Xenopus tropicalis: one gene and its partner. The protein of the gene in region 2 interacts with the protein of the main gene of each other region in a pairwise test. Links are inferred from orthologs where the notes say so. Each region holds a gene or a part of one and is shown on either strand. Other genes may lie near its edges.

What was found.
Region 1: the proteins of fam102a (region 2) and skap1 interact in binary tests that used the Homo sapiens proteins (3 or more experiments, as listed by UniProt). The two-hybrid records come from large-scale screens. The link is inferred for Xenopus tropicalis from reciprocal best matches to the Homo sapiens genes EEIG1 and SKAP1.

The regions. Positions count from the first base shown.
Region 1 is NC_030686.2:11,787,312-11,791,139, reverse strand, and holds part of skap1 (src kinase-associated phosphoprotein 1), read left to right. Parts: coding exon 1-45; intron 46-1,936; coding exon 1,937-2,020; intron 2,021-2,351; coding exon 2,352-2,476; intron 2,477-2,931; coding exon 2,932-2,995; intron 2,996-3,828. UniProt on the Homo sapiens protein: Positively regulates T-cell receptor signaling by enhancing the MAP kinase pathway. Required for optimal conjugation between T-cells and antigen-presenting cells by promoting the clustering of integrin ITGAL on the surface of T-cells.
Region 2 is NC_030684.2:25,542,690-25,546,517, reverse strand, and holds part of fam102a (protein FAM102A), read right to left. Parts: intron 1,597-3,828; coding exon 1,475-1,596; intron 674-1,474; coding exon 604-673; intron 1-603. UniProt on the Homo sapiens protein: Key component of TNFSF11/RANKL- and TNF-induced osteoclastogenesis pathways, thereby mediates bone resorption in pathological bone loss conditions.

The DNA of each region.
Region 1 (3,828 bases), on a different chromosome or scaffold from region 2:
TGGATAAAATCTTTAAACAGGGCTATCTCGAGAGGAGAAAGAAAGGTAATGTGGCTGCTTTAGGGGTCTTCATACTGTTGTAGGACCACTATCTCTCTCTCTCTCTATCTATCTATCTCTATCTATTATCTATCTATCTATCTATCATCTATGTATCTGTCTGTCTATCTTTCTATCTATCTGCCTGGCTATCTATCTATCTATCTATCTATCTATCTATCATCTATGTATCTGTCTGTCTATCTTTCTATCTGCCTGGCTATCTGGCTATCTCAAGAGGAGAAAGAAAGGTAATGTGGCTGCTTCAGGGGTCTTCATACTGTTGTAGGACCACTCTCTCTCTCTCTCTCTCTCTCTCTCTCTCTCTCTCTCTCTCTCTCTATATATATATATATATATATATATATATATATATATTATCTATCTATCATCTATCTATGTATCTATTTACCTATCTTATCTATCTATGTATCTGTCTATCTGTCTATCTATCATCTACCTATCTATCTATCATCTATCTATCATCTATCTATGTATCTGTCTGTCTATCTTTCTATCTGCCTGGCTATCTGGCTATCTCGAGAGGAGAAAGAAAGGTAATGTGGCTGCTTCAGGGGTCTTCATACTGTTGTAGGACCACTCTCTCTCTCTCTCTCTCTCTATCTATCTATCATCTATCTATCGATATATCTATCATCTATCTATCTATTTACCTATCTTATCTATCTTTGTATCTGTCTGTCTATCTTTCTATCGGCCTGGCTATCTATCTATCTATCTATCTATCTATCTATCTATCTATCTATCTATCTATCTATCTATCTCTGTCTTGCCTCACTAACAGAAGGCATTGGGATTCAGTAGGGAATGGATTTTCAGAAGACCAACAATACATTACACAAACACACACATCTAAGTACAACTAACAATACATGAGGTCTTCTCCAGGTATTGAGTCCTGTAATATTGAGGGTCTGTCTGTAAATCCTTTGCCCCATCATGTATCCTTCTGTAGACGGCCTTGCCACAAGTGTTATGGTCTTTGGAGCCTCATGATAAATGTTCATATAATGTTTCTTTTCCCCCGATGCCAATAAGATCGTATATCATAATACTTGTTTTGTTTGATACACAGAATACAACTGCTGCATTTAAAAAATCTATATTGACCTGATGTACTTTCTTCGGGAATACTTGAAGTGCACTTTAATCCTCGTGCTCTCCTGTAATTGCCATGTATGATTTCGCCCTGTAGCCAGGTTTCTGATGCTTACTAAAGATAATCATTATGAATAGGAATGTGGAGCGAAGCATGGAAAAACTGGTTCTTGATTCTCTGCGGATCCTGTAGAGAAAGGAAAATAGAACGTATACCCCCAGAATGAATACTTATCCTACAAATAGTTTATATTATATTAAGTGACCTATTAAAGAATCTTGCCAAACTGGAAAATATTTATTAGTAAATATTGCCCTTTTATATCCTTTCCCTTGAGCCGCCATTTTGTGATGGGCTGTGTGCTCCCTCAGAGATCAGCTGACAGGAAATAATGCAGCTCTGTAACAGGAAGTAGTGTGGGAGCAAAAGGCAGAACTCATTGGCTGATGTGACCTAACATGTATGTGTGCCTTGGCTTGTTTGTGTGCACCATGAATCGTATAATTCCTATTTAGGATTACCCAATGGCACATACTACTAAAAAAGTATATTCTTATGAAAATGGTTTATTTAGATGAAGCAGGTTTTACATCTGAGCTTTTTTATGCAATATATTTTTATAGAGACCCTCATTGTTTAGGGTATAAGATCCCAGCTATTTTACCTGCAAAAGTCATTCAGGGCTAAAAAAAAATATTCTGATTGTTGTAACGTTTCCCTTTAGTTAGCCTTGTGTGATATATTCATTGTGGCTTGCCTTTCTTTTTTTTTTTCTAGATCATGGCTTTTTTGGATCGGAGTGGCAGAAGAGGTGGTGTGTGCTCACAACGAGAGCCTTCCTATATTATTCTAGTGAGAAAGGTATGTATGTGTGTATAACTTTATTTATAAAGCGCCACAAGGATACGCAGCGCTGTACAATCTTACAATATACAGAATTACACACAGGGAGGACAAGTGTTATAATAAATACAATAAATAAGTATAAATACACAGGGAGTAAGTGCCATGTGGTATGAGACACAGTGGGAAGGAGGTCCCTGCCCCGTAGAGTCATCAATCTCAGAGAAAGGTAAACAGAAATGGGGTATATGGGGGCTAATGTAAGTTTAAGTAATGCCAAGAGAACGTTTGCTTTGGTCACTGATGGACGGTTTAGAATGCCACCGACTATCACTCTTGGTTATTGCAGGGAAGCAGCCCAAAAATGGTTTCCTCATTAAAGATTCTCTAGCACAAATGATGCCTTACATTCGCAAAGACTCCCGGCGTGACAGTTGTTTTGAAGTTGTGACACCAAACCAACAGGTTTTCCAGGTAAGAGACCAACTCATTTACCAGGTACGGAGCCTAGTGCAAAGTTGGGAGCAAAGTGGCCTGATTTATTGCTCCTTGCCCCAGTCCAATTTAGTGCCCTGAAGTGTGTATCAATGCATTGCGGCCTGCCTTCTGCTGAGATGGGCAACCCTGGGAATTCTGTTAACATGCACATCATTCAGCACAGTGGGGAGCTCCTGGGGACACGGGCTTAGGGTGTCCTTTATTTTATACTCACTTATGATAGGGAACAAGCCCAATGTTTTCTTGTGTCATTGGGTGCTGCGCTCTGCACCAATTGTACAGGGACAAGTATTGGCAGTAAATGATGCAGTTTTGCACCCCTTAGCAGTCCAGAACTTGTGCCTGTACCAGTTGTAAATGAGCCTTTTTTCACTTCCAGAATCCCTAAATTGTACAAGTAATAAAAACTGCTGAGTTTTATTGTCTTACAGTTTACTGCTGCCAGCCCATCCGATGCCAGAGACTGGGTGGAACAAATACAGTTCTTGGTGAAAGGTGAGTCAGTCCATGGATAAAATACAGATTGAGGTAACATGTGGAAACATGGGAGGGACACCTTGGCCAAGTCTCACAAAATCAAACGTTTTTAGACTTTTTTAAAGGGGAACTCCACTGAAACACAACAGTTTTTTGAAAAGTTAAAAAAAAATGTTACAGTAGTTGACTGTCCTCAGCCTGCCTTCAGCCTGCATCCTCCCAATCCCACAATTCCCTGAACATCACAGTGCAATGCATTGTGAACTAGCTCGAGTATAAGCTGATCCGAATATAAGCCGAGGTACCTAATTTTACCTAAGAAAACTGGAAAAACTTATTGACTCGAGTATAAGCCTAATGTGGGAAATGCAGCAGCTACTGCTAAGTTTTAATAATCAAAATAAATACCAATAAAATTACATTAATTGAGGCATCAGTGGGGTATATGTTTTTCAATATTTATTTCAAAGAAAAACAGTAAACTAGCTCTGTAAGCGGAGAAGAGGATCAACAAAAACAATATGAATACTACCCCACGCTCATTGCACATTGGCAAACTGGCAGCAGACCCGATCCCGGAGGGATGTAAGGGGAAATAAATATTGCTAGTGGGAGCCTAGGCCAGGGCACTTGGAGGGTCTGGTTGCCTAATTTGCACACAAAGGAGAGAGGGTGCTAGTCTAGAGGGACCCATGGCACCCGACTCGAGTATAAGCCGAGGGTGACTTTTTCAGCACATTTTGGGTGCTGAAAAACTAGGCTTATACTCGAGTTTATACAGTATGTATTTCCTGGGTGCTGTCTGTAAGCTGTGGAGAAGTTTTTATCATCATGTTATTTTTTAACATCAA
Region 2 (3,828 bases):
TACATTCTTTTGTGTCATGATATTGTCAGTGACAGGATCTCATGGTTCAGTTTTTTATTTGATCACTGTAACAGTGAGTAAAAAATTAACCACTGGGCAGCAGGGGCAGGCCAAGCCGACCAGGAGCCCTAGGCAACCTGGTTGGCTACCACACCTCTGCAATGCCTTCACGGTGGCGGGGCAATGACAATCGGCAGGGGCAATGACAAGGGAGCGCGGAATAGGGGTAGCCACAAAAGGTACTTGCCTGGTGCCCCCCATCATTGTGCCCTAGGCAAGTGCCTCTTCTGCCTACCCCTTAGTTCCAGCTGTGTACGGCGGTCATAATTCCGGCCCACTCTGGTTTCCCAGTGCCACTTGTGTCATGCAAGGCAACTAGTAACACAAGTGGTGGGTTTGCTGTAACTGACATTGCAACGTGCAAATGATAGAGGCCTTCCTGGGGCCCCAGCAGTAAATAATTTGGGAGTTGTGAGACCACACCCCATCCTTATTTATTTGAAGACGTTGGCGGCACAAGACATATTTCATGATGGAGGAGGAATTTCCAGTCATGTGTAAGGCTTGCAGGTTGGCATTACAATTAAGCTTTAGGCTGTTTACCTGTTAGCAAGCTGGATCCCGCTCAGAGTGGTTGATCCATCTCTACTGACAAACAGTCTTAGGTGACTATCTAGAAGGAGACACAGTATGCAGCATTATACACAATCCTGTTCTAAATATTACACCAAAGAACAGACAACAAAGCCAAAAACAAAAGGATGCAGATTTTGTGGCATCAGAGGAGTCACGTATATATATGTATATGGTTATGATCAATTGTTTGTTTCTTGCTGAAAAAGAATGGGAAGTTGGGATTAAACTGTGACTGTTAAAAGCTTTCAGGTCATATTGGGTTGGTTAAAGAGCTAACTGTGGCAACAGGGCAGGGATATGTGTTTTCATTATGTTTCTCTTTGCCCTGTATAACAAATATTTACTTTCTCTGACCTATATCTGTGAAACTTTGGGACTCACATAAATGCAAATCCCTGTAAACCCCCCTGAGCTAAAGCTGTAAAACACCATAATATGGCAAATAAAGCTCATACTCCTGGGGGCTTAGATTTCTGCATTGTTCATATACCACAGCAGATCAGGCACAGAGGTTAAACTTGTCATAAGAGACAGGAGGTAGACAAGGCAAGGTTCTGCGGCAACAAAAATGCCACTTTGTCTAACTTCCTTCAGCAATAATGAGGATTCAACCTCTGTACCCAGCGCAGGAGAAGGGACTAGAACAACAAAGAGCACAGAGGCCAAAATTAAGAAAGCCTTGCTACACTAATCATGCCAGGATCCATCATATCCTACACAAACCAGAACATTCCTGGAGTCTGCAGAATTGTGTACCCAAGCCCTTGTGCATTGCACTCCTTTGCTCCCTGACTGCTGAGGAATTCTCAAAGCTGCTGATATAGCTCTCTTCTTTTACCTTCGTTGTTGCTGACGTCTGTGAAGTCTTGACTCTGCATGATCTTCTCCACAATGTCATCAGCATCAATCCTGGTGTCATCTACCCACGTGGGCCGACTCTCTACAGAGTCTTTCTTCCTCCTAAGGACAGGACAAAGCATACGGACACTTGGGTAAGGCAAAAGGCAGAATATCCAAGGCTATTGTGATACTAATATCTACAGTTAGTATTAGTGGTTGTATATATAGTTTATGTGTGTGAGTGTATAGATTGGTAGGTGTGGGTTGTGTGTGCTGGGTTTACTTGGAAGGGTTGAACTTGATGGACTCTGGTCTTTTTTCAACCCTATGTAACTATGTAAAAGCTTGTGCCAAGTGATTGTGCTGCTGGCATACCATGGAAGACAGCATCTTACTGACATAACACAAACTGATAAAACACCTTGTGAAACCTGCAAAGAGGTTAGGCCATAATCTCTCAGATGTGAGTGAATGAGCCAAGGGAGAGGGTGCCAGTGTTATATCATTCCCAAAATTGGCTGCAAGCATTGCCCCTGACTAGGGCAATATGTGAACACATAATAAAAATGTTAAGTACACAGAAGCCCAAACAGCCCCCCATCAGCCCACTAAATAGTGACTGTCTATGGCATCTTACAGCAGCCCCTCTGGCATTTGCCAGAATCCACAGATTGCCAGTACGGGCCTGGATATTAATCTTGTTTTCCTTTGTCCCCTAAATCAACGGTTTATTCTAGCTAATGAAATATCTGATACGATTTGGATATTCGTAAGGATACTGTGATCCCTCCAGACTCTCATTGAAGCAGGCAGCCATTAGCATGAGGCTAATCTGCAGTCCTTTGGTGCCTAGCTGGGTACATTGCAACTGTGAAAGCTCTTAAATAAATGAGCAGGTGTATTATAAGACAGTTGCCTGCTCAGCGCTTGTCCCATTCCATAAACTACTCCAGGACATGCACACCTAATAATTTTTCAGTGAAGGGAGAGGAGGCTGAGCAGAGAGCGGTCATGCTGTTCAGTGGAATCTCTTCCTTGTAACTTGGAATAACAACAAATTCCACCAGTACAAGCCAAGTAAGGAAATCACGGGTTGTTCTGTGTCACTAAGCACTGGATCCAGACTTCAGAGAGAAATGAGCAAGAGGTTCCAGTGTGCTTCGGGTGCAGCTGAGTCACATCATTTATTCCATGGCAGTAGCTCCGAGGCACAGCATGAAACTAACGGCTCTGTCACAAACTTGACATTTAAAAGGCAGAGGGGTATTTTTGTGGCTTTTGAATTACAAAGCAAATGCATGGTAAATGTTATGAGCATACATCGTCTGCACAGAAAGTCATTACTTCCAAGTGTTTGCGCCATACACATCCCAGTCAGTGGGAGAATACTGGCACTATTTGCCTTTGCAGCATGCCTACCATTTGTTATTTGGCCACTACTGTGCTGGCCCACACAACAACAATGCAGGGAGGCTCAGAGAGACTGGAACAAGTAACAACCCATCTGTTTGACTTAAAGAAACAGTAATACTAAAAAATGAATGTGTATAAAAGTAATTACAATATAATGTACTGTTACCCTGCGCTGGTACAACTGGTGTGTTTGCCTCAGAAAGACTACTATAGTTTAGTAAACAAAGCTGCTGTGTAGCTATGGGGGCAGCCATTCAAAGGAGAAAAGGCACAGGTTCCATAGCAGATAAGCATTATATTCTACAGAGCTTATCTGTTATCTGCTATGTAACCTGTGCCTTTTCTCCTTTTTTTCCAGCTTGAATGGCTGCCCACATGGCTACACAGCAGGGTATTTATATAAACTAAAGTAGTGTTACTGTAGCAAACACAGCAGTTTTACCAGTGCAGGGCAGCAGTACATTACATTTGAATTATTTTAACACCATAAAATGAAATCGTTTTACTGTTCCTTTAAGACACAGTATTCCACAATGAGTCAACGATAGACATCACTGCTATAGCACGTACCCTAAACAAGGTTCAGTCAGATAACACACTGCCTGTGGAATTATTCTACCAGTGCCTGACATCTCTCACCTAGTGATGTGGCCCATGGCCTACAGTGCTCCCTAAGGCTGATGTCCATCAGAGAAAAGCTAAGGGTGCCAAGTTCCAAAAATCACCCCTGCTGCCTTTTATGGGAAAATCCATAACTATTATTAGATATGAGATATTGCAGCACAATACTGGATGCCGCTTATTGCAGGGAGCCTTTCACACAGCACAATGGTTGCAGGAAAGATCATTATTGTAATGTGTATGGCCACCTTATGAAACATATGCATTGTGGCCCTAGCCCAAAACTGGACATGATTTTTGCATCATGATATAAAGGAA